Linked DNA regions of Medicago truncatula. The protein of the gene in region 1 interacts with the protein of each later gene in a pairwise test. Links are inferred from orthologs where the notes say so. Each region holds a gene or a part of one and is shown on either strand. Other genes may lie near its edges.

What was found.
Region 2: the proteins of protein TRANSPARENT TESTA GLABRA 1 (region 1) and transcription factor bHLH92 interact in a two-hybrid assay, tested with the Arabidopsis thaliana proteins (2 studies listed by BioGRID). The link is inferred for Medicago truncatula from reciprocal best matches to the Arabidopsis thaliana genes TTG1 and BHLH92.
Region 3: the proteins of protein TRANSPARENT TESTA GLABRA 1 (region 1) and WRKY transcription factor 44 interact in a two-hybrid assay, tested with the Arabidopsis thaliana proteins (2 studies listed by BioGRID). The link is inferred for Medicago truncatula from reciprocal best matches to the Arabidopsis thaliana genes TTG1 and TTG2.
Region 4: the proteins of protein TRANSPARENT TESTA GLABRA 1 (region 1) and transcription factor KUA1 interact in binary tests that used the Arabidopsis thaliana proteins (3 or more experiments, as listed by UniProt). The link is inferred for Medicago truncatula from reciprocal best matches to the Arabidopsis thaliana genes TTG1 and AT5G47390.

Annotation. Positions count from the first base shown.
Region 1 is NC_053044.1:45,902,063-45,908,345, reverse strand, and holds protein TRANSPARENT TESTA GLABRA 1, read left to right. Parts: upstream 1-4,197; 5' UTR 4,198-4,439; coding exon 4,440-5,468; 3' UTR 5,469-5,760; downstream 5,761-6,283.
Region 2 is NC_053042.1:15,355,471-15,362,025, reverse strand, and holds transcription factor bHLH92, read right to left. Parts: upstream 1,998-6,555; 5' UTR 1,954-1,997; coding exon 1,585-1,953; intron 1,326-1,584; coding exon 1,044-1,325; intron 924-1,043; coding exon 801-923; 3' UTR 514-800; downstream 1-513.
Region 3 is NC_053048.1:47,312,262-47,319,412, reverse strand, and holds the start of WRKY transcription factor 44, read left to right. Parts: upstream 1-4,133; 5' UTR 4,134-4,268; exon of another isoform or gene 4,269-4,323; intron 4,324-4,457; 5' UTR 4,458-4,567; intron 4,568-5,160; exon of another isoform or gene 5,161-5,169; 5' UTR 5,170-5,216; coding exon 5,217-5,423; intron 5,424-5,693; coding exon 5,694-5,825; intron 5,826-6,525; coding exon 6,526-7,151. UniProt on the Arabidopsis thaliana protein: Transcription factor. Interacts specifically with the W box (5'-(T)TGAC[CT]-3'), a frequently occurring elicitor-responsive cis-acting element. Regulates trichome development, production of mucilage and tannin in seed coats, and maybe root hair development.
Region 4 is NC_053045.1:49,443,048-49,450,876, forward strand, and holds the start of transcription factor KUA1, read left to right. Parts: upstream 1-4,798; 5' UTR 4,799-4,996; coding exon 4,997-5,276; intron 5,277-6,575; coding exon 6,576-6,784; intron 6,785-7,494; coding exon 7,495-7,829. Other genes in the region: uncharacterized protein, read right to left, coding at 702-1,286, 1,358-1,384. UniProt on the Arabidopsis thaliana protein: Transcriptional repressor. Direct regulator of the transcription of peroxidase (Prxs) and reactive oxygen species (ROS)-related genes via the recognition of 5'-ATCACA-3' motif.

The DNA.
Region 1 (6,283 bases):
TTAGCCACATGGCAAATACGTGGAATTTAAAAGGAATTAAATAAATTAATAAATCAGAAAATGTTTTTATTTATTTTATTTATTGTATTAATCTTCTATATTTTAAATTTATTAAAATATAAAGGGAGGAGAATTGAAATTAGAGTTCATGTTACTTTCATCTTCTTCTTCCTCATACCAGTCAGTCAAACAGAAGCTTCCCAAAAACAGATAAAACCAAACAAGCACAACAACAATCCCAACAGGCACAACAACAATTAAACTGAAGCATCACAAGGTTATAATTGCTTCAATTTTAAACAGCTAATTTCAAATTACCTAATTTCCATATCTCAAATTTTCCCTCTCAACACTATAAAATTGGATCTGAAACGAAACCATTCATGTTTGCCACAATACACAGTGACATCACTGCTTTCTCTAGATCCGGTTTGAGAAGATCTTGGAAAAATCTTCAACCCAAATTCAAGAATAACAAGATCCGGAAAGAATAAGATACTAGAAAAAGCTTATGGGTTTAAGAATAGAGCAGTGGCAAAAGAGTAAAAACTTGGTTTCAGAGACAGGTTAGAGAAGGATCTTGTAACTTTGAGGGTTGGAAGGAAGATGACGACGGAAGAATAATATGGGTCTTTGAGTTTTTTGTATTCTAAGGTTGGATAAAGAATTAACGAGTTGTTGGATTTGGGTTGAAATTAGATTAGTTTATGAGTTTGGAATGGAGTGTTGGTTTGAAGATGATAAGATTCTTTTGGTTGAAGATTCATGTGAAGAAAATGTAGATCTGTGTGTTCTTTCATTTTGTGAGGAAGGGCTTGATGGTGGTGGTACCGGAAGAACAAACACGCGAAGAAGAAGATGAAACATATTGACTAAAACCAATGTTTTTTTTTTATGAATTTTAATTTTATTTTAGTAAATGATTTATAAAATATTTATAAAATACTTTAATGCGACATATGCGAGTTGACACAGTCAGCATCTGCCACATAGGCTGAAATAAGACAAATCAACAAGAAATTGGGTCAAAGGACTATTTTAAAAAACAAAATTTTTTGCAGGGATGAATTTCAAAAATTTCTTTTACTATCGACCAAAACCCAAACTCGCCATATTTGCAGGGACCAAAAGCATATTTTAGCCTAGACGGAATGATAAAACTATTATAAACTCACACACAAGTGGAGGTACCGGGGTTCGAACTCCGGTCTAACAATTTCAGCATTTTTACCGGTTGAGCTAGAACATATGGATTAATATTCATTTATTTAATGACTGAAAATAAGATAATACAATCATACATTTTCTTTCCTTTTTGACGATAACATAAGACCCATTTATTTAAGGACTAAAAATAAGATAATGCAATCAACAAATCATACATTGAAACAGATGAGAAGCTTTGAGACTCTCACATGCTATCCGATGGATAGAGGTGTCAAATGGGCTGGCCCGGCCCGGTCTGACCCGCGTGGGCCAACTACATAAATGGGCAAGCTCGGCCCGTGTGGGCCATGGGTCAGTCCGGCCCGTTTTAGTTTTATTTTTTAAATTTAATCACTCTTTTATATGTATTTTTTATGTATTAGTTACACACCACTATTTTTTTGCTAAAATATGATTTGGATGGACATAAAAATGTAAATAATTTTTACATTAACGTTGAATAATAGTTAAACTATAGATTTTTCCTTCAATTAAATCAAATTGATAATTTATAAACTTTAAAATTTTAATACTTTAAGCTAAATTTATTCATATTTATTAAGTTTATTTATTTAATATTTTTTATTAATAAAATTTAATTTAGTTGATAATTTTTAAAAAAAGCTAAAATATGCTTTTGGTCTCTGGTAAAAAAAACTTTGAAATTCATCCATGTAAAATTTTTTGTTTTTTAAAATAGTCATTGGTCCCACTTTACTGATGATTTGGCGCATTTTTGCCTACATGACATTCGTTGACTGTGTAATCATGCACACGTGTCAAACATCTGTCATTTAACATATTTTAATTATTTATATATCATTTTAATAATTTAATATGTTATTTTTACAAAATATAATTAAATAAAATAAAAAATAATTGTTTTTAAAAATTCCTTCTCTTCCCCTTCATCATATTCACCATTAAACCCACCAAAATCAAAAGAAAAACATTAAACATTCATCATCAACCCAATTTTTTTTTAATCAAGATCTTCATCCAAAACATTTATCAGTAACGCATATCATCATCTTCAACCCAAATGTTCATCCAAAACTTATCACATATATTCATCTAATTATTCATAATCCAATCAAAAATAATGAAAGATTTCAATGGGAAAAAGGGAAGAACTTAGTTCATCATCGAATATGAACAAAACCCAACAATAAACTTAAACTTAATTCAAATCAAGATCCACATGAACAAAAAGAAGAAACAGATAGGGAGGGGAATGGCCTTTCCATTATTGGTGGACCTTCCCTTGAATTGAACCGGTCACGGAGCTCTCCATTGAGTTGTTTAGGTTCTGGAATTCCATCTCTAGTTGGGGGTTTCAGTTCGAAGGTTATCAAATGTGGTGCGGGTTCATCTCTCTCGACCAGTTCAGGTTCAAGGGAAGGGTGATCGAGGGGACCCAGACTTTAGATCTCTTTCTTCTCTATTCTATGGCGGGAGGTTTCTTTCGTATCAAGAGTGTGTTGGGGAGGCCAGGGAAAGACGGAAGAACTTAATTTATCATCCAACAAAAAACTTGTTCTCCAAAAAAAAATCACTCTCTCGGTCCCCAATTTTTCCGTAACAAAACCACTATTTCTTTTTCTTCTCTGCAATATTTCCCCTCTCCCCTTTCAATCCAACCCATTTAAACCCCTCAACCAAATCAAACCCATTTCAATCATATCCAAATTTTGAGAAAGCAACAAATTCATGCTTCAGGTTCCAACAGAGTCATCTCTTTTGTATGATAATTTGAATTTGAGTTTGAACGTTAGATAAGTGTTTAAAGGCCAGATTTAAGTATGAAGGTTGTTGTTGTTGTTCACGACGGTGGGAGATGAGTGGAGCCTCTTTGTGAAAATTAGAGCATTTTCTCCTTTCTGTGAATAGTGGGGATGAATGGGTTCATATTTGGGTTAAGAATGAGGAGAAACCACTCATCTGAAAACAATATGAAAGATAGATTGAATATGTGAGGTGAAATTTTGACAAGGAATGAGTGAGATTTCCGATTTCATACGAGGCAAAGAAGGAAAACAAATTAATAGATGGAAGAGAAAGTGATGCAAAAAATGATTTGCAATGAAGAAGAAGATTCACGAAGAAGAATGGTAGTTATGAAGAAGAAAATTTTATCCCCTTTATGTATTTATGTTGTTAATTAAAAATAAAAAAATTATTTTATGTTTTACCTATTTATTTTATAAATGTTAATATAATTTTTAATTGCCACATGTATAACTTATGCACAGTCAGCGAATGCCACGTAGGTAAAAATGTGCCAAATCATCAGTAAAGTGGGGACAAGGACTATTTTTTAAAACAAAAAATTTTGCACGGATGAATTTAAAAAAAAAATTACTAGGGACCAAAACCCAAACCCAAACTTGCCATATTTGCAGGGACCAAAAACATATTTTAACCTTTAAAAAATATATTGTTTTTTTAACAAAAATCAAATGAAATATGGGACGGCCCAAATCCCGGTGGCCCAACCCAGCCCAACTTTTGTATGGCCCAAATGTGCTTGGGCCAAAAAAGCCCGAGTGCATTTTTGGGGTAGTTTTTTAGGCCCGACCCGGTCCAAAAACATGGGTCAATGGACCGGCCCATTTTCGACAGCTCTACCGATGAATGCATGCTCTACAAGTAACAAATGTGGATTTTGAATTGGATGCTAAGAAGGTTGTATATTTCAATAAAGTGAGTAATGATATAATTGAGTTTGTAATCTTCACTTTAAAAACTCTATGATAAACCGCAAACTAGACTTAAGTCTTAAAATTTTAGACAGGCCAGTCTTGAGTTTATTAGAATGTAGCTTGACTTAACCTATTCTACTTTTATGAGAGACTATTTTAACTAACGAAATGAATAATTAAAAATTATTTTAAAATTTCGATACATTCAAACTATCGTGGTAGTTATAATTTCGGAAACTAAACACAACACAAGAGTTGATCTACCATAACATAATGTAGATGCATTGGACATGCTCTTGGTGGCTAACACAACACAAATTGGGGACGTGGAGGTACCTTCTCGTCAATTTTGGCGCATACCATATATTATGCTAGTAGGAGGAACGAAGAATGTCAAGTGAAGAAGAATAAGGCAGTTGAGATTTTAAGGCTCGTGCCCTTCCTTCAGTCACCCCATCTTCTCATTTTCACTTCCCACCTAACTTTTCCCTGTCTCTCTTCCCCTTCCCCTTCTTCCACCATCCACCAAAAATGGATAATTCAACACAAGAATCCCATCTCCGATCCGATAACAACTCCGTAACATACGATTCCCCATACCCACTCTACGCCATGTCCATCTCTCCCAACACAAATTCCCCACAACAACGTATCGCCGTCGGAAGCTTCATCGAAGAATACACAAACCGCATCGATATTCTCAATTTCAACCCCGATACCCTCTCACTCAAACCTCAACCTTCACTCTCCTTCGATCACCCTTACCCACCAACCAAACTCATGTTCCATCCCGCCACACATTCTTCTCTCCAGAAAACCTCCTCCGACCTCCTTGCTACCTCCGGTGACTATCTCCGTCTCTGGGAAGTTCGTGAAAATTCCGTTGAAGCTCTTTCTCTTTTCAACAATAGCAAAACCAGTGAGTTTTGTGCTCCTTTAACATCATTTGATTGGAATGAAATTGAGCCCAAACGAATTGGAACTTCAAGTATTGACACTACTTGTACTATCTGGGACATTGAAAGAGGCGTTGTTGAAACGCAGTTAATTGCGCATGATAAAGAGGTTTATGATATTGCTTGGGGGGAATCAAGGGTTTTTGCTTCGGTTTCTGCTGATGGGTCTGTTAGGATTTTTGATTTAAGGGATAAAGAGCATTCAACAATTATCTATGAAAGTCCGCAACCTGATACCCCTTTGCTTCGTTTAGCTTGGAACAAGAAGGATTTGAGGTATATGGCCACGATTTTGATGGATAGTAATAAAGTTGTGATTTTGGATATTAGATCACCAACTACACCGGTCGCGGAATTGGAGAGACATCGCGCTGGTGTTAATGCTATTGCTTGGGCTCCAAGAAGTTCAAAGCATATTTGTTCCGGTGGGGATGATGCACAGGCTCTTATTTGGGAGTTGCCGGCTGTAGCTGGTCCGAATGGGATTGATCCGATGACTACGTATTCTGCTGGTTGTGAAATTAATCAGCTTCAGTGGTCTGCTGCTCAGCCTGATTGGATTGCTATTGCTTTTGCTAATAAAATGCAGCTTTTGAGGGTTTGAGTTTGAATTTCAGGTGAGGGAATAATTTACTTGTAGTTCTGGAAAACCAATTACTCATTGTGTTGTTGTTGTTGTTGTAAGTTGTGACTGATGAGTAGTTTAGTTTAACTTGATCATCTATTAAATTATAGAAGTATGCCATGACATGGATTCTTTTGGTGGTCTTAAAGTATTGCTGTATCTCATATGTGAGAGTGGGTTGGTTACTGTAATTGTTGGGTAGGGCGAACTATTTTAGTTTCATGTTTTACTTATAGCATAAATTGAGGTTACATTTGCTTGTTCAATTGAAGATGGAACTGGCCAATTGAATAGTTTAGTTACTGCATATCTAGCAGTAATGTCAAATAGCGGACAGCGGAATTTAAACAAATTGCTATTGTTTTGCGATCCACTATTTAGTTATCAAATAGCTGCTATTGTGGCGGCGCGATAGCATAGCAGAATTTCAACGAAATGCTGTTTTCCGCAATCCGCGATTGACAACACTGACATCTAGATAGATCATCCTTGTTAAATGTCAAAGTTTATTCTTTTTCTTGTGTTATTGAACAACCTGCCTCCTTGTATGCATGTCTCAGTAGTAGTTTTGATCATGCACTTTGACACCTCATTAGTTTTTGAGAAAGATGGTTTATATGCCCAAGTGGTTGCAATCTAAAGAATGCTTATTTGTTAAATGTTGCTAAAGCCTTGATGTGGTTTGGGGTTATCTTTGGCACTTATGTAGATATTTAGTCAAAGAAGTTCAGTAGCAGTTAAGCTTAAAGAAAACTTAACCCCTTGTTATTAGAGCTGGAGTTTCGTATATGATT
Region 2 (6,555 bases), on another chromosome or scaffold:
ATTCATTAAATGATGTATGTGATCTTTATTATAGGCCACATACATCATTTAATGAATAAATGTAAAATGTTGATTTTTGCTTATGATAGTGACCAGAGGGTGTAAGCTGTTGTTGGGCTGATGTGTGGTCTCGAACAATGTGTATACTTCAAATAATTAAATGATTTGTATTTTCATATGTGCGTCGAAGGGTGCGTTTGATCAACTAAAAGATAAGAGTTTGGATAGGAAAACTTCAGTTGTAATGTGTTTGATTGTAAAATTGTTTGAGAGACCGGAGAAATTAGGGGCATAGAGACATGACAAAATTGAAAATATTGTCCCTTACAGAATACATCATGACTTTTTGTCCCAAATAGAACTCGTATAAAATACAAAAATATTTTTTTGTCCACCGAACATTGCATAAGACAAAGAATCAATACCACAAAATTTCATCATGTGTTATGATATTTTGTTTTATATTGTTCTATCTCATACTTACCTTTTAAGAGATCAAACACACCTGAAATCTTATGTCCAAAAACTTGTGTCTATTAAGTATTTTCCCAAAATAAGATTAAAAGCCAAAATAAAATTTACATTAGAGACTAATTTAGTACTTATTCATCCAATGAATAATTAATTTATTTGATCCAAAATCTCCTAGTCCTAGCAGGGTAGTTTCTTTTTTTTTTTTACACAAGCTATAGTAGGCTAATACAATAATAATTCAAACGACTTATGTACATACAACAGTAGCATAACATAGAAAAGTCAATCGAAAAGCCATATTTTTCTATTTATAAATAAACAAAAATTTATCCAAACTCTTCATATTCTATTATTTGCTTATTTGAACCTTCCGGGACATGAGAATGAAGCTTCCACTCAAGTTCATCAAGTAATCTCTTAATAGCCTTTTCCACATCAGTTCCTGCAATCTTTCACCAAACCAACAGATATTTAGCATAAACAAATCTTAATTTTTTTTCAAATCAACTTACACTAGAAATCTTAATTAATTCTATCTTGTATAGTTTTATAAAATTACACAAACATACCTCAGATTCTATCTCTAAGACTAAAAACAACTCCTGCTGAGAAAAATTTGACTTGATGCTTCTTGTATCAACACCATGGTTTTTCAACAATTTCAGTGTCTCAACTATAGAATCAATTCCAGATGTAGGACATGGCACTCTCAAATATTGAATTTGTTTTCTTCTGTCAATTACTTCAACATTTTCTTCAAGAACAAAGTTTTTCCTTTCCAATTCCTCTTTGCATCCTTGTAGCCTTTGAATTTCCTTAGCTGCTGTTTGAACTACAGAATTATTATCTGTCTGCCATAAAAATAAAATAAAAATTTCAACATTAAAAATAGCTTGAAATGAAAACTAAAAAATGGCTTATTTTAAAAGGCTCATCTAATCATAGTAATATATGTTAATCATGGTTTTAAAGTGCAGTCTGCAACCATAATTATGGTCATAATATAAAGGATTTTGATGTCTCTACAACGATATAACAGCCACAATATAAAATTTTGTAGGATACCGAAAATGCAATGTAAAACTATGATGTGAATGTTTTTATATATACTTTGGTTCCATGAGGCAACACTGCATGTAAATTGAAGCAACATTGTCTTTGTCTTTGTCTCCTCATTCTTTCACTAATCATGTGCTTGAAACCACGTTCTCTTTCACATTCTGCTACTTTATTTCTCTCTAAAGGCAAACTTTTTCTCAAAAATGCAATCATCCTCTTGTTCATGTTATTTGAATTGGACCCTTTTAGAAAACTTTGTTCCCCAAAACTAATATTGGGTTGGTCTCTATATTGAACAAAAGCACTTAGATTTGGTGTAGGACAAGGTTGTGTTAGAACAAAACTACTTTGGTTTGTAGGTAAAAGAGGTTCATCCCAAAATACATCACCTAGAAGATTTTCAGGAAAAAACTGTTCCATCGTGTGATATGATTATTAATTTAGTTGAAGAGTAAGAGACAAGTATGTTCTTGGTGTTTGGTTTATATGTTGAGGAAATGGTGTGCCATACTTTGAAAACGTGGTCAATTACACTGTTGTGGCCATTCGTGGGTCAAAATTTGTGCATGCAATTAAAGTCTTACTTTAAACTAAAGTTGCTTGTTTTATGCTTGCCCCCAATCAAGAATTCACGCATGGTAGGCCCACCATCCATATTTGAGAAAACTATAGTCATAGTCAATTCTCCCTCCAAATTGAGTGTTTGTACAATAAAAACTTTTGTTTGGATTAACTTTGTTTTGGTAAACCACAAAAGAAATTCCCAATTATGTCTACAAGTTTAGATATACTTTGGGTGAAAGACTAATCCATCAAGAGTTGTTTAGAGAAGGAATCTTATCCATTGGTTTTCAAAACTTCTCAACAATAATATCTCTACTAGGATTTTGATCTTTTCATATCAATTGTAAATATAAATGTTCTATGAAAAATACAAAAAAAAATATATATACAATATGACTACGTAAATAATAGCAAGAGTAAACCTTCATTTCCTCTATAAAGTATCATTCTTTAGAGAGTTGGCTCAATATGCATCTTTAGATGTCTAAAACAAACTTTACACTAAAGTCTCTTAGACTTCAAAATTAAAATTAAGGTAGGATTTATTAAAATAAAATAAATGAAACTTTGTTGAGTTTAAAATTTAAACTTTGGTCAAGTTTTGGATTGGGCTAAGGCCCATTCCACTCAGACTCGGGTCTGGTCAAGGACTCAAGAGCAGACGATACTATACGTTGTACACGCCCTAAATTCCTTTGGAAAATAGCCCGGACCAACAAATCATGACCTTCCAATCTGGATCGGATGCAAGAGGACCGCCCAGATGATCACACTTGTTCCCCAATGACAATTATCTAGGTGAAGGCTTGACAACCAAAATCCTACTTATCCAATATATACACATGCTTAGCATTGGGTCAGGTAACACACTTCTTACCCTAATATTAATCACACTCTCTCTTGAACTCCTCATTGATTTCGGCGTCAGAGCACATGTAGGTACACCACCATCTTCGATGGAGACAAAGGTAAGGTGACCTATTGTGGACAACAAAAGCTTAATCCCTTTACACAACGGATCCTAATCTGACATACCATCTTCTTAAGTCCAACCGAAGAAACCTACAAGTGAGACACCAAAACATAGGGATCTAAAGGAACCCACTAACAGGTGTGTACACCGATGGAACTCCAGGAAACCCACGCAATGCTAGAACAGTGCAAATAGTTAACCTTCTCCGAGATCTAATAGTAGTGATTCAATGTCAATATCAGATGATGGAAACACTAGGTGAACGTTTGGCTCATGTTGAGGTTGGTCAACGCCAACCACACATTGAAGCCTCAAACCCTAGCCAAGACGTCATCATTCCAAAACAAGTATTTCGGGGAACAATGACTCCTCAATGTCAAAATGAAGCACAACCTCGACCGTCCTAGGTTGTAACTAGGAATGACGAAGGAGAGGGTCCGAAAAGGGGACGAAAATAAGTATGCAACCAACATTTTCCAGCTAAAGGTCGTCGTGGCAAAATGAGCTGCAAAGTTTTGCTCACGAGAGGCTTCTGTCGAGAGAAATCCAGTGAGGTAAGCTCGCATGATGTTAAGCCTGTAGAAAAAAAAACGCTTTTACAAGTAAGATCAACGATTACCCAATGCCATGGCGTGGTTCTGAAACCTCAAGCCTCACTCCATAGGATCTCGAGGAGAACTGTGCAAGCATAAGGCTCACTTCATATCTTTTAGGAAACAACCAAATTTTGTCGACAGTTTGGCGGCTATATACCATAACCTAGGAGAACGGGTAAAGGAATACCTTGAAAGGTTCAACAAACAGGCCATCCAAGTCCATAGTGCTGACAAAGAAATGAAGATGTACCGGCTACGAAAAAGGATGACGTCGAATACAAAATTCATAGAGAACATCAAACTAGACAACCCGAAAAACTTTAACCATTTGGTGGAAAAAGAGGAAAAGTATAGACAATACAAAAAAAATTGTTGAAGGTCGACAAAACAAGAACGACCTGAAACGAGAATATGAACGAGAACCCTATAATAAAAATCTAGGAAGAGGAGGCGAAAGGTCCTATAGAGCCCCCTAGAGATTACCTCCAAAAGTATCGCGAGTACACACCTCTCAACGCCTCACACGAACAACCCAGGAAGTTACAAGATCAAGTTGGAAGTGACAAAAGCAAATATTAATGGTTCCACAAAGTCCAAGGCCACGCCACTGAAGATTGCTTGCAGCTGAAAGATGCCATCGAAGATTTAATCCATAAGGGAAGCTGCGAAAGCACACAAATCATCGGGATAATGAACCAAAGCAACGTGAGAAATCCATACCTCCAAAGAATAAATCCACTAACAACATGAGATCTTCCAAGAAGAGGATAGTAGAGAAGCCAAGGAACTTTCCTATGACACTTAGTGTGTCTGACAAATATTTTATGAACAAGATGACTTACATGTGGAGTAAGAAGAAAGCCCTGGCGATGAGAAGGTAAGAAACCCCTAGAATCTCCCCATGATTTTCACTATGTTTGGAGGAATTTAGCATAAAGAAACCAAGATAATAAAAGGGGCACTCCCCCTGGCCGAGAGACATCCTAGGCCCTCCCAAGAAGATGAGATCTTGGCCCATCAGAACTCTCCAGCAGTGCTACTCATAGGGGAAGAATCACCCCACGAACAAAGAGGCGAGGTTGAAGTTATGGAAAAACTATGAGACCAGACTGGTCAGACACATGCCACTCACTATGAGACTCGAGGATAGTGAGTAGGTTGAATCTATATCATGTTGATGCACCGATTACACCTGATCCAGGGATTTATCCCCAATTGTCGGAGGACATCGAGCCAAGTCTAGTATGTCACGACACCCTCCCTCATGGTGCAAAGGAACCAACGGTATGAAACTCCATTATAGGAAGTTTACAGATAAGCAAAGTGGAAACAAAAAAATTTGTCAAGAGGAAGCTAAACAAAACTATGGCACCAGGGGAGTGCAACTTTGTGGCGAATGCCACAGTAAAATAAAGGCCACCTATTTAATTCTACGACAAGAATATGCTAGCAGGGCGGCCAAACTACCATATACTACTGATGGTACGAGTCGTAATGGCTAACGACAAAGTTTTAGTAGGTGTACTCAAATTATCGAAGTAATAAAATATAAAGATCATATCAGCATGGATTTCTTAAGTTCTACTTAGAAAAAATGTTATCATTAAGGATGTATTAAAATTTGGGGGGTTGAACATGGCAAAGAGTTGGTTTAAAAATCATAAATTAAATAGCAAAATGTCTATGAGTTTGTAAAGATTTTTAAGAAAAATGATCTGGTCTTTCAAATCCTCTATTCACTGTTTGATAAGCTACACCTAGACCCTATAAATGTTGTTCTAATTTCATGATGATTAACAAAATAGTTATGATTAATCTCTTGAATCATAACCCACTTTTAAGATTACAACCCCCCTAATCTCTTACGGTGAGTCTTTAATCTTCGAAGGTTCCATGGAAAGTTAATCTAATATCACAACCTAACAATTATCTATCTTTAGATTGGCTCGTTTAATTTTACAATATAATTAGATCTAAGTCAATAGGCAGTGCTAATAGTCAATTGATCTATAAGTTCATTTCATATGTAATCAAAATATAAAAAACATTAAATACAAATTATGCTAAATAAAAGTAGAATTGTATTTATATTGAATAGAGTTTCACAACGTACATGTCTCAAACAACTAGAATATAATCATCTCATACCTAATCATAAGGAGTTTAGCTAGTCATGGCTAATGCACAAATAACTAATGTAAAAGAAAACAACATTACATGAAATTAAGACTGAATTTGAGTTGGATGGGAAGCCACCACAAAATCTGCAATCCTAAGCTTCAAATGTGTCTTCAATCTACCAAATATCCAAACCCTTTCCCTAAAATGAAGTTGGCCTTTTATTGATCCAAATTTGTAACGTGTAAAATGTGTCTTGATTTTCTAAATTGTGTCACAATTCCACACTAGCATTCAAATCTAAGAATTGGCGCTCTCGAGATCGTGTCACGATTTGTTCCGATCATGCCACAATTTTGAAGAATTGAAATGCTTCATAACAAGTTCAAATTGTGTCTGATTACTTCATTTCGTGACATGATTTACAATTTCCTTGTTTCTTAATTTTCTATCTTTTCTAGCTTCAAAACAACCTAAAATCACTTGAACTCTACCAAATATGCATAAAAAAGGCTAACTATATGACACATTTGCATCACAACCCCAAACTTGTATCGTTACTTGCCCTCAAGGAACAAACATATTAATGAAAATTAACAGTAAAATATCATTTACCCCACCAATAGTAGTATCAAAATTTAATCTCCTAAACCGACATTTTGACGAGCTGGTTTGCTTGTCCAAACAACCATTTCTACAACTTCTTGCAGGTGATTAAAAAGGGTACTAACATTCAACTTACAATATTGTCATATTTCCATACGCTTCAAA
Region 3 (7,151 bases), on another chromosome or scaffold:
AGTTTTATTACAATGCAGCTGGCCGAGCTGGTTGGCTTTAGTATTTGCCAACCAGGAAGTTTAAACTGCTGCTAAACTAAGACTGAGCACTGTACCAGCTCTTGACTGCATAAGTTTTCTTGGTGCAAGATAGATTGTGCCCTACATTTTATATTGCTCATTTTTAGTCACCCTTGTGCACCTTTAAGCCCCTTTTCCTTCTACATTTTTCTTTGCTTGACCTTCATATCTTAATCAGCTATTGTCCTGTCTCTGTGGTTGAAGTTGTCGTCCAGATATTGTTTTTTGTTTTATATTAAGTTTGAAGTCTGTTGCAATTGATTAAAGAAAGGTTAATTTCTTTTATGGGTATAAAAAATAGTATAATTTGGATTTTTGTATTATTGTTGTATTTGTTTTTTCAATATTAGTTTGGGGCGGCCATCAGTGATTGGTTCCATTGGAAGTGTAGTATGTAAAAAGTTGAATTTTATCAGCTATATCAGTTTCAACTCGAGATATCAGTGTTTTTTTTTTTTTTTTTTTTTTTTTTTTTTTTTTTTTAATTTTAAAAATTAATATGATGTTCACAGCTATATCTATAGGGATTTTCATCTACCGTAGTTGATTCTAACGGAAGGGTAACATATTTGCCAAACCAAGGTTCAAATCAATATTGGAAGAGATATCACTTTTAGTGATAGACCGTGTCTTGAATAAGGTTAACTTCGTTTAGAAAACATTTGGGAAACCAAACAAAAAAAAAAAAAAAAGAGAAATCTTTAGGGATTTTATGTTCCTAAATCAAATGATGCAAATGTCATAAATTTTGCATGATAGTTATTTTTATCTCATAGGGTCACGATGCATATTAATTTTCTTTTGGAAGTGTTGAGATGCATATTTTTGTTATTTGATTAATTAAAAGTAGGAAAGCGTCAAAAATCTTAATGTTGTGCATTTTTGGCGGTGCTTTGGAGAAATGATAACAATGTCTTCTCGACCCCCTCCAAACAAGACAAAATATTGACAAGTGAAAAAGGTGAAAAATTTATGTTATACTAGAGGTGAAGATATGTTGACTTCTTTTCAATTTGAATTGTAGCCAACAAGGCAATCAATTTTTTTTTTTTGACAAAATAAAAGATATTCATTCATTCAAATTGAAAGAGAACATCAATATAATGCAAATTCACTTAAAACAAAAAGGATGAATCTGTGAATAGACTAACAACATCCATGTTAATAACATAAAACGGCAAAGTACAAATGTCTACACATATTACTATATTTAAATCTCCGGAATAATCATATTTCCGGATCTACAACGTGGATGACGTCAAAGTCATTGATTGGATCTGCACTTGATCGAAGCTGATCTGACAATCTGAAGTGATCAAATACCTGAGAGAAACAAGAAAAACAAACAACGTCGCACAAAGACGACGAACAACCAACGTTGTACGAAGACGACGAAATCACAAAATAAAAAACGAAATAGATGTGAAATAACTTATTTCAATAAAAGGAAAATAGAAAAACGAGTTAAAAGGGAAATAACAAGGCAATCAAAATAAGATGTTAATTATTAATCAACTGATTAACTCTTGTAAACAAGAGGCTAAAATCATCAAACAAAGTGATTTAATTAAATAAGTTAATGTTCATTCTCTGTCAAAATAGGAGAAATTATATATAAATTAGATTGCAAGTTATAATGAAAAAGAAGTGAAATTTTTTAGACCTATGCTGAACCGAGTTTAGGTCTGCTCCATCCATTTAGTTCATGGATGCACGACATATGACAAAATAATATTTAAGAGTCGAGATATAAACTTAAAAACAATTATTTGTTTGTTTAATAAAATAATAATAATAGTAATAAATCAGAATCCTCTTCCTTGCATTACCGTCTGTTGTCATCAACCTCCACCTGCCGCTTCATCACAGCCTTGTCTTGTCGTAGCCGACACAAACCAACCAAGCATCGCTCTTTTCATCTTCCACACCCGTCGAAATTATAGTGAAACATTGATCGATTTGAGAAGAAAAAACAAACAACACAGAAATATACAAAATTTGCATTAATCCCAATTCTTCAATCCCATTCATTGCTTAATTTTACAACTATATCATTATTATTGTTCACCATTCTTAATTTCCCCTAAATTTGTTTCAGATTCTAGTATGAGAATTCAAATGGGTTTGGCTTGTTGAGTTGGAACAAATTGAGATGGAAAGGGATAATTGGAACCAGAATAATAATGGACGGTGAACGATGTTAAAAACTGGTTTTTGATGGCAGCTGCAAGACCACACTGGATTGTTTAAATTTGAACCATTAGATGTTTCTTTGTCACATGTCGTGCATCATAACTTAAATGGATTAAATGAAACATTATTTAAATGGAACATATCTGAACTCCAAACCACCCTCAACCTATATGTTTTCTTAGCGGACCAAGTCAACTACTAGTGACGGGTTCAAAACTTTGAAAAATGTGGGATAAGTGGATGGACTAACACATTTATTTAAGGGTGAGCAAAAAGAACCATGAATCAAACCGAACCGCGCGAACCTAATTGAACCGAACCAAAAATAACCGAACCGTTAATTTATTAATAGTTTTTGAACCATAACCGAACCATCTTGAACCGAACCGAACCAAACCACTTAAACTGTTTTTTTTTTTTAAGGAAACCACTTGAACTCTTTGATGGATCTTTCCAAAAAAATACAACTTATCTAAAATAGCTTATTTTATGCAAAACACCTTATTTTAAAAACATCTTATTTTATGAAAACAACTTATTAAAAAAAAAACAGCTTATTCAAAACTGCTAATTTTATGGAAAATAGCTTATTTGAAAAACAACTTATTTTAAAAAAACAACTTATTTTATGAAAAACACCTTATTTTAAAAACAACTTATTCAAAACAGCTTATTTTCAAAAAACAACTTATTTTATGAAAAACACCTTATTTTAAAAACAACTTATTCAAAACAGCTTATTTTCAAAAAACAACTTATTAGAAGCATGTTTTGAATAAAATAAGTTGTTTTGAATAAGCTGTTTTTTTTTTTAAATAAGTTGTTTTCATAAAATAAGCTGTTTGAATAAGCTGTTTTTTAAAATAAGGTGTTTTGCATAAAATAAGCAATTTTAAATAAGCTATTTTTTAAAATAAGTTGTTTTGCATAAAATAAGTTGTTTTGAATAAGTTGTTTTGCATAAAATAAGTTGTTTTGATTAATTTGTTTTTAAAAAGAGGTCGTAACAAGCTATTTTTAATAAAATAAGCTTTTTTGAATAAGCCGTTTTTCATAAAAGAAGTTGTTTTGAATAAGCTGTTTTCAAAAATAAGTTGTTTTTCATAAAATAAGCTGTTTTTTAAAATAATGTGTTTTGCATAAAATAAGCTGTTTTGAATAAGTTGTTTTTAAAATAAGTTGTTTTTCAGAAAATAAGTTGTTTATCAAATAAGCTGTTTTTTTTTAAATAAGGTATTTTCATAAAATAAGCTGTTTTGAATAAGCTATTTTTTAAAATAAGATGTTTTGCACAAAATAAGCGGTTTTGAATAAGCTATTTTTAAAAAGAGATCATAATAAATTGTTTTTCATAAAATAAGTTTTTTTGAATAAGCTGCTTTTTAAAATAAACTGTTTTGCATAAGATAAGTTGTTTTTGAAGAAATAAACTATTCTAACTTTTAATTTTAATTTGTTATTTTTTATAATAAAAGTGATTTTATTCATTGGATAAATAATATTTGTTTTGGTTCGGTTCGGTATGGTTAATAAGTAAGCAAATGGTTAACCAAACCATAACTTTGGTTCAGTTCGGTTAGCTCACAACCTGAAACAGTTTGGTTTGATTTTCCCGAACCATTTCAAAATTTCGATTCGATTTGATTCGGTTTTTTGGGTTAACCGAACCATACCCACCCCTACATTTTTCCATCCTCAATCTTTTCCACACAAAACAAAATCTCACTTTTATTTCTTTCTAGTATTTTATCTATATTATGTTGGTGACAGTGAACCCCAACAACTGGTCAAACGATAGAAATATTGACAGTTAGTTGTCCGTACAAATGTGGGGGGTTGGAACAACCAATCCTTAATATCCACAATGCTTCTCATCTTTTTTTAATTTCCAATATAGTTTTAGTAGTTGTAGATTGTAACAAGCATGTGTTCCAAGTTCCAACTTTATTTATTCACTTTTGGAATCAAAACACTTCCTCTCTTATCTCCTCCCTCTTACATTCATTTTCTGTATGGTTAGTATGTACACATAAAATAAATACTAGTACATAGTATTTAGTATTTATTTACGTAAGTTGTTTCCCTCTCACTCTCTCAACTCCCAAGCCCAATTATAGATTTCATGGATCATTTTTTGAATTTTTTATGGTCATATATATTGTAGGAACTTTTATTTATTTATTTTGACCCTTCTTGTAATGCAGGAGGAGTTAATTTAACTCAGTTCCATGCAATTTGGGAAATTAGAAGTCACAGAATCAAAGCTGTCACTCTTTGGCATGTTAAGTTACAGCTTTTTCTTGACTTTCTGCAGGTTAGTTTGTTGATCCTAATTATCGTGCATGTTTGATATCACGGTGGCTCGCAATGATTTCAGCAGATAATTAATCATACCAAACATGCATATCAATAACCACTTCTCTTTTTTTATGCTTTGGTTATTAGGCTTTCAAGGTTGTTCATTCTGCTAAAAAGTTCCCTTTTTGGTGGGGACTACAATAGTAGATTAAAATTCTAAAATAATAGTAAGACCTCACCATTAAAAAATGGTTTTGCCTCAAATTTTACTTGAATTTTCTTTTTTCAGGCTCATCCTTTCATGTCTTTGGAACGAACACCATTTATTGATTTGTGAGATAATGATAAAAGGAAAATGCTAACACATGTCTTAATGGGAAGGATTAGTTAAATCGTTTAAAGCTATTATATCTGGGACTACACTAGAACTTTTTTAGTCTACGATTATGTTTGCACTATTATTGTCCTTTGAAACTTTGAGTTGTTGACACTTTTAATACAAACAGTTGCATTAGGAACCATTATTAAACCTTTGTGTATGTAATTTGCAAATTTTAATGTTATTTAATTATACCTACCTACCATTGATAAGTATAAATCCCTTGTTAGTTTTTGAAGGTGAAAGTCTTGCAAACAGAATCATACATTGCGAAACATAGCAGTTCATGATGGATATTGAAGAAGCAGAAAGAGTAGTTGTTGCCAAACCAGTTGCTTCAAGGCCTACTTGTTCTTCTTACAAATCTTTCTCAGAACTTCTAGCAGGTGCAATCGATTCCACTCCTCCAATTGCATCTTCTCAAACTACAATATCCGCCATTAGGCCAAAGACAGTGAGGTTCAAGCCAGCAATGAATATCCCCCCTTCTCAGGTGAACATTCAGTGCAACATACCATAATGCAGTGTTTTAAAAACTGAACTGGAAGTTCCAACCGAGTGAACCTTGAACGGACCACTACTATGGTGTGGTTATTTTGGCAGTTCGATTTTGGTTTCGTCTCGATTCGAGCGGTTTAAGACGGTTGAATCATGACCTAGAGGTCATGCCGGATTGATGTCCGTTTTGGTTTTTAAAACATTGCCATACTGTTTTGAAATGCTTCTTGGTTTCTAATGTATGTTGTGTTTTTACCAATTACAGGTTAATATTTCTGGAGGTGCACTTAGCAGTTCTTCTGACATGGATCCCAAACCTGATACCAATCAATCTCTCATTTACAAACCAATGGCAAAATTTGTGTCACAAACAACCGTCTCTCTGTTGGCAAACATGGTCAGTATCTACACACACATATCATACACTTCTTTCTCACATGCATATGAGTTAGCTTAGTTAGTTTTATTTCTGTTATATTTTGTTACTTTATTATTCATCCTATATATAATCCTTCATTTGTAATCTTTTTTGTTCAACCAATTGATCAATGATATGAGTTTATTCAGAAAGTTTACTCTTCATTCATCAAGCAATATAGATGTTTTGAGATGGTTGACAGTCATATTAAGCAAGAATAACATTGTAAGTGACAGCAACTCGCTTATTATATGCTAAGTCTAAATAAAAAATCAAATATGTTATCAAATCCTATCTTAGATTTGTTGGACCACCTGCAGATGTTTAGGCATGTAAACTTTACGCTCCAGATGTCGTGTTTTGGATGTGAGCACATTGGTTAGTGCAATGATATAAACGATGATTATAAGTGAGGGGACAACCCCTCATTCCGTGAGCTAACTTCGGAGGTTGAGTTAACTCCAAAACCAAATTCTAACAGAAATTTCCAAAATAAATTATCCGCTACATTTGTGTCAGTGACTATTGGAATTTTTTATTGGGTTACTCAACCTTACAAAATCAACTTGTAAAGTGAGAGGTGCCTCTTTTTATAAAACTAATTTTAGATTTTATCTCTTTTCAAACGAGACTTGGATTTTCCCTAATACTTACCTCCCTTTCTCTTCTTCTGGAGAAGGGAATTTGCAGTACTAATCAGCAACAACCACAGAAATCAAGGGAGACCAATCCTCAGCATCTTAACCATGACAACTTTAGAGCTAACATGAGCTCGAAATTACATCAGAACATTACCCTTCCTACAGAAACATATCAGGCCACAGAATCTTGTATGATGGCACCACAGAACATTGAGGAGGACCAAAAAGCATTACCATCCACAAATAATGCTGATAGACCTTCGTATGATGGATATAACTGGAGAAAATATGGACAGAAGCAAGTAAAAGGAAGCGAGTATCCTCGAAGTTATTACAAGTGCACATATCCTAATTGTCCAGTTAAAAAGAAAGTTGAAAGATCATTAGATGGTGAGATTGCAGAAATTGTTTATAAAGGTGAACACAACCATGGAAAGCCACAACATCAAAAGCGAAACTCGGGAGCAACATCAGGAATGATTTCTGATGGAATGGTTCAAGATAAAGTATGGAGTAATAATAGTAATCAGAATGAAAGGAATGAAGGAAGAATAGAGAATCAAGTCAAAGCTTCACTGCCTGATGATTCTGCTCTAGAAACTTCTTGTGGTCTAAGTGGGGAATGTGAGGAAGGAAGCAAAGGATTTGAGGCAGAGGAAGATGA
Region 4 (7,829 bases), on another chromosome or scaffold:
AGTAAAAAAAAACTAAAGTTTGTACGTCCCTATGTATATGGCTAATTCTTGTTTGTGTAACACAGATACGTCGATCTATGGATAAACAATTTACTTTGGATAAACAATTTAATATTATGAAATATAAGTGTTTATTTATAAGGAGGTTCGACTTCACTTGGTTTACTTTACTTTATTTATTATTATTCATTTACGAAAGAAATAAGCATAATAATAAATAAGGGTGTAAAATTAAACTTTCAATTAAAATTAGAGGTAATAACGAGTCATTGACATTGCCGAGTATAAGCTCTTATTCTCTTTTCTTTACTTTATTTATTTATAATATAGGTGCAATCAGTGGCGTTGCCGGGACCCAGGGTCAGGAGGTTCAAAATTTTAAACTTTAATTTATAATAAATATAATAATATATATCTAAAAAATTACATTGTATTCAATTTACAATGTACTCAAAAAACTTCATCCATTCTTTACAAATGTCCCTTACGCGGTGCCATCTTCTGAAATCGTTGAATAATCAACTCATCATCAATTTTGTCCGCCACATCTCTCTCAATATAAGTCACGAGACAATCATTCATCCAATCATCTCCCATTCGATTACGCAATCTAGACTTCACAATCTTCATAGCAGAAAAGGCTCGTTCAACGGTTGATGTGGCAACGGGCAAAATCATTGCTAACTTCAAAAGTCCATAGACTAAAGGATAATCAATATGTTTTTTGAGTGCAACCATTTTTTTTTTGAAAGATCACTTATTCCTTTCAAAGATGCAAATTCAACACTCCTACGCATATCAAAGATGTAAGTGTCAAGTTGACTATCAAGCAACACCAATGAAGTTGGAGAAAATTCAATTGGATAAAACTTTGCAAATTCAATCAACTTTGCTTTGTCAAATTTAGAGAACGAGTTGTTTGGGCACATACTCTCCATACAAATGAGCAACCGACTATTTGTCTCATTAAAACGATCATTAAGTTCTTGAAGTTGCATGTCCACAACCGTATAAAATAATTCAATGCGGTAATGATTCCCTATTGTGATAGATTCAGCGTTACCTCCACGTATTGACTTTCCACGGAAGAATATATCATCCATGCTTGGAATGTTAATGTCATGCTTATTGCCAAATAAAATTACCTCCTCCAATAAAGGTTCCCATCCATCATCTCTTAGAGCTTGTAATCGCTCCTTTGTGATGCTAATTAGGTTCATAGCATTGACGATGTCTTGATCTTTCCTTTGCAATGCTTGTGACAATTCATTTGAAAAACCTAAGACCTTTTTCATTAAATGCAATGTGAGTGCAAAATCAAAAGTATTCATGAGAATTAAAAGACCTTTTGCTTCACCTCTTCCATCTTTAATTGATACATCATCTCTCAACATTTCAAGAACATCAGTTATAGAACTATACATCAATATCAAGTTCACCAAACACAATAACAAACTTTAAGATTCAATGAGTATGAAATAAAAAACAACATTCTTTCACATTTTCATCTAGTGCTACCACTCCTTTCTTACCATCCATCCCCATTAGAGTAAAACAATGTCACACAGAAGCTCACTCACTATTATAATGAAACATGATAAATTAGTAGGATTCAAACAAAGTAGAATAACATGATTCAAACAAATTAGTAGGATTCATATTAGTTTCTTGGTTTAAAAATCAAAACAGAAGCTCATTCACCATGATTCAAACAAAGCAACATGGAAATGAAACACACAAGTTGAACAAATAGAATAACATGATAAATTAGTAGGATTCATATGTTTTTTTGCATTTTGAACAAATTGAACAGATACTAAAAAATCTGAAGCGAACCATTTACAACAAAAAAACCATGAGTGTTAAATTGCCACTTTAAAACAATTCTCCAATCAATTTCACAACACAGACATATCATTAGGACCCTCAATTGCATATTCAATCAACCAATTTATCACAATTGAAGTCATCTAAAAAAAAAATCCAAATTTCAAAACCCTAAACCAAAGATTTTTAATTGATTACCTTGGTGGTAGATTCAATGTCTTTGAAAGCTTTTGAATGTCCCTTTGCGGTTGCACGACGGCGGAGGACGGCAAAATAAGGTGGAGACGGTGGTGATTTATTGCAACTGATTTTTGAGATGGAGAGAGAACTAAAACGTGATTGTAGATGGTAGTTGAAAGGTCGCGAGAGTGAAGATAGAATGGGTTGGGTGGTGGCGCGGTGGAGTTTGGTGGTGGTTCTGCCGCCGGTGTGGTGGAAGTGGAGGAAGAAGGGTTTTCTAAGTTAAGAGAAGATAGTTTAGAGAGAAGTTAAAATGTGTAAATGAGTGAGTGATGGTGGTTTGGGTCAGCTGGTGCAAAGAAAAAATATGAGGAGGTTCAAAGTGCTAAAAACATAGGGATATATGTGAAAAAATTTAATTTTGAGGGTTGGCAAGTGCATCCCCTCAGCACTATGTGCCTCCGCCACTGGGTGCAATAGTTGAAGATTGCAAAAGACTAACATCAAGTATCATTACTTTAAATTTTTTAAATATTTACCGTGTTGCGAATCAAGCGGCTCATTTCTTAGCTAAATTGGTTATTATGTCTCTTGTGAATTTGTTTGTGTTGATGAAACCCCTCCTTATATTTATGTTATTGTGTCTTTTAAATTTATCGTCATATTTCATTAAATAAATGTAGTCATTTTAAAAAATAAATCATCCCAAAATTTGGTAGCTTAACCGCACAAAATGTTAGAAGAGGTGTATCACATGAACTTTCCAGAAGGTCAGTTGTTTGACCAGCTACCATAGAAAATAAATAAATTTAAAACAAAAAAAAAAATCGCATAGTCATTATTCGATTGTATGTATTTAGATATATTTAACATTTACTCCATCCGTTTCTTTTTAAGTGTCATTTTAAGGTTAATTTTTTGTTCTTATTTAACTGCATTTTGGTATTTTAATGGTACGATTTGTCAATTACTCATATTTTTTTCTTTGTTTGGTTACTCTTATCTTTTTTAATAAAATTAATTAATGTTATATATTTGAAAAACTAAAGTTTTTTTTTTTAAACTAAGTTTTTTTTTTAAAACAAAATTTGTTTCTTGTTATCTTCAGATTTAAACAAATGTAAAGAGATAAATATTGTACACGTACCATTGTTGCTCTTTTCTGTATGCTCTACTAAGTTATCTTCATCCAGTGTGGATCTAGCATTGGTTAAAGCCATAGTTGAAGCCTTAATTTTGATTAAATAAGTTTGAGGACAGATAATTTTTTTCTTAGCTTTTTATTAATGTGAAGTTGGAATAATTTTTATATTGACTTAAATTAATTAAAGAGTTGTGCACAATATTTCGAAAATTGACAATTGTTTGTTATGAGAAGGAGTGTGTAAAAAAAATTGTTGGAGAAAAAGATAGTAAGTAACAAATGTTTGTTACGATCTAAAAAAAAAATGTTTGTTATGAAAAAATATAACATATTAAATTTATTAGAAAGATAAAGTGTGTGCCAAAATATATAAATATATTGGTGGATTAAATTGAGGGTATAATAGGAAGAAAATGTGCAAAAATACACTTTGCTATTTTTCGTGGAAATTTTTTAAAATGACACTTAAAAAGGAATCGAGGGAGTTGTATTTTTATATAAATTTGAAAAAATGCATCACTATAGTAAATAACATTCGCAAACTCAGAGTCAACAATAAGTACTTCATTGGACACATCTTAAATATATTCGGTACCACTGATTTCATGGATAGCTTTGCTCTTTTATTTTTATTTTTATTCATAAACACATTGAACTTTGGTTGGATATTGATACTCCGTGACAAAATTCATTCAAAATTTAACCTTTTTTTTTTTTTTTTGGTCAGGCAAAATTTAACTTTATTTTAAAATAATTAAAACAGAAAATATGACATGACATTAAATAATTAAATGATAGATATGTATCTAATTAAACTCAAAGTACTATTGTGTTCAATTCTTTTTTAACAATGGATGGCTTTGCTTTTAAATCTTCTTAGTAGGGCTTTGAAAATAAATACTGTAATTGGAGAAATGGTGGTAAAAACGACCTTTGGAGTGGGATAACTAATAATAAGGTGGATAAGCATTCACAATCCTCTTTTGTACCAAAAAAGATAGAGATGCTATTTTGCACAAGAATATACTCAACCTTCAGGTTTGGAAGTATATACCCACGTGAATTATCCCTGCTAAATATGTTCCTAATTTCAGAATTAAGTTTAGACCATCATTTGGGATGCCTTATCAACCAAGGCTTTAGTTTTTCACTAGGCTACTCTTGGTGTTTAGGAAATGATATTTAGTGTGTGTTTTTTTTTTTTAATGGATAAAACAGATTTCTAATGAACGAGAAAGAAGAAATAGAAGAATAAAGAGAAAGTTGTTAAATAATTTTTACAATTAATAAATTCCCAAGACAAATGTTTAATCCAAAAATATCCATATATATATATATATATATATCTACATTTTTTCATTGCAATTCTGAATATTATCTTTCTCACTTTCGAAGAAAAGTAGTACGTAATTGTTTCATCAAGTTGATGATGATAAGTACTGTATCGAAAGCAACCCAATCACTTGCATGAAGAAAAAAAAGCAACCCAATCACTATACTCAACTTCTAATCCTCCGCCACGTCAACAATCAGAAACAAATCTACGGTCAAAAAGAAACGATCACGTATCATAAAAAAAACACCGCGTAGCATCTTATCTTTACCTCTCTTTATCCACGACAAGATAGATAAATGGATAGTGTTGTGTTGTTGGTCTTTCTCTCTTTCTCTTTCTCTCTGCAGCAAAACCCGAGGGAGACCAAACCAAACATAATAATAAACTCAAATAAACCAAAAAAAACAAAAACCTTAAAACCTTCAATTTCATTTCATGTCTCGGATCCTGTGATTCGGATCTTCAAAACCCGATAATTCACCTCTCTCCTTCGATCCGGTTCAGAAATCATGACCCGTCGTTGTTCTCATTGCAGCCACAATGGGCACAACTCAAGAACCTGTCCAAATCGTGGTGTGAAGCTGTTTGGAGTAAGATTAACCGATGGGATCCGGAAAAGTGCTAGTATGGGTAATCTTAGCCACTATAGCGGGTCCGGGTCTGGACTTTTGAATACCGGGTCAAATACTCCTGGTTCACCTGGTGAAAACCCTGATCATGGTGCTGATGGCTATGGTTCTGAGGATTTTGTTCCTGGTTCTTCTTCTACTTCCCGTGAAAGAAAAAAGGGTTTGTTTCTTAAAACCTTTTTCTTTTTAACTCTTTTGCTTGCATGTGAATTTTTGGAATTTAATTTTGTTCTGTTTTTTTTTTTTGAGCTAGATGAATTCAACTATATTGGATTAATTATGTGATCTTGTTTTGGATTGGTTTGTATTTACGATTATGACAAAAAAATATTTATATTTTTGATTTTTGGTTGGTGTAATTGTAGGAGTAACTAGACAAGAAAGGTACTGATACGTGTTAACTTTATTAGTGATTGTCTCTTTTGAGAGAATTATTGGAATGTTTCATGAATTTTGTATCTGAATTTTGGTCTAAGAAATGGATAGATACAAGTCTTAGGCCATGTGGTTCAAAAACAATGTTTCTCATGTGCTTCAAAATTACTCATATTTACTTATTTAGTGTCTATTGGGTTGGTGTCTGTTTAACTTGGATGTGTTGTGTATTCTAGTCTCTAATTATGGGGGATGTGGTCCATTAATATGCATATATTACACTGTTTCAGCTATCTAAACTAGGCTTTATATTTTACATTAAAAAAAAAAATAAACGCGTTGAAAAAAGTCTATGATGATAGATTAAATACCAGGCTGTGGCAGGTGTTTAACAAACCTTGTCTAGCTTGTTTCACCCCTAATGATCTGCAAGCAATAGCAGAATATGCTCTTTCTAGCTATATAGTTCGGCTCTAATGAGCTTTCACTTAAAGACGAATAATTCAGGAGAACCTGAGTTCGAATCATGACTAAAACAATCTTTGGCCAAGCTTTATTTTCGTCTAGGTCGAACTCTGGATTACCAGAGGCCCTTTCCCCTAGGAAGTAGGAACCGAAGGGTCAAGACAGAGAAAAAAATGGTCTTTTTGATGATGATTTCTTAAGTTTTATCAGATTACACACAACCCTGAATAGGGTCACATTTCTTAAACGACAACATGGCTAGCTTATTTCCTCCCCTAAATCTAATACTATGTGCAAGGTTTGGCTTCCGATCCATCCCAAGAGTGAGTAGGGCCTAGATCAAACTTTAGATAGACCTTTTTGCTTCAAATGAGATTTGTGGCTATTTTTGCCAGCATTTAAAGCTTTATTTTTTAAACATTCAAATAGTCAATGTTAGGTATAATTTTTTGGGGGCCTAAAGCCTTTGACTCATTTAACTAGGTTTCAGACCAGTACTGTTTAGCTGAATTTGAATTTTATCTATTTGAAGTTCATATTACAGTCAGCTTCAACGGGGATCACGGAAAATTCTTGTGTTGTTTTTGTCAGCTTTTGATTTTTAATATATTTTTTTCAGGCACTCCATGGACTGAGGAGGAACATAGAATGTTTTTACTTGGATTGAACAAGCTGGGCAAAGGTGATTGGCGTGGAATTGCCAGGAACTATGTTATATCAAGGACACCTACTCAAGTGGCCAGTCACGCTCAAAAATATTTCATCAGGCAAAGCAATGTGTCTAGGCGAAAGAGACGGTCCAGCCTGTTTGATATTGTTGCAGATGATGTTTGTCCCCTTATTTCCAAATTCTATTTGCATAAAATGTGTTTCCTTTACATTATGTTGCATATAATGAAATTGATGCCACATAACCTGTTCATTACCATTTGATAAGATTATCCAAATGTGTTTCTTTCTTTAACGATATTGTTTGACCTTTTATGGATACTTTGAAAATTAAGTCAGTGAGTCTCATGTACACGACACTGTTTTCCATTTGGGAAAATTGTCCATTTCCTGGACATTTTGGATGTTGATGACCTCTCTGTGTATTAATAATGTTCGGGTTAGATATTTATAGAACCATGGCTCTAGGGTATTTAGCAATGTTTTAATAGCCGGACTGAACCAACCAACCGGTTGTGCTGAGAGGGAACCAACTAGTTCCCTGGTTGGTTTGAATCCAATTATATAGCTGGCTGGTTGAACCGCAGTTCAACTGTGGCTGGTTCAACCGTTTTTTTTTTAATACTTTTTCTTAAAAAACTTTTTTTATTTGTCATTTAGTTCATTGAACCATGACCTGTATTTCTCACCAATTTGATGTCGGTACTGATTTTTAAAATATTGGTATTTAGTTTGGAGGAAAAACATTGCATTTTCTGATGTGGTTCTCTTTTGAAATTTATATAAGCATTATGTAACCTCACTTTTCCTTTTCCTTCTGAACCTTCTAATTTTTCTGGATTTCTTGTATTTTTGTTTTGATTTTGCAGGCACCTGATACTTCAATGGTACCGCAAGACTTCTTGTCAGCTAATCAACTACAAACTGAAACAGAAGGCAATAACCCTTTGCCTGCTCCTCCTCCGCTCGATGAAGAATGTGAATCGATGGATTCTACAAACTCAAACGATGGAGAGTCTGCCTCTGCCCCATTAAAGCCCGACAGCAATGCACAAGCGTCGGCTTACCCAGTAGTATATCCGGCATATTATTCTCCATTCTTCCCTTTTCCTCTTCCCTATTGGTCTGGATACAGTCCTGAGCCGGCTCCTAAGAAAGAAACACATGAAGTGGTGAAGCCAACCCCAGTACATTCCAAGAGCCC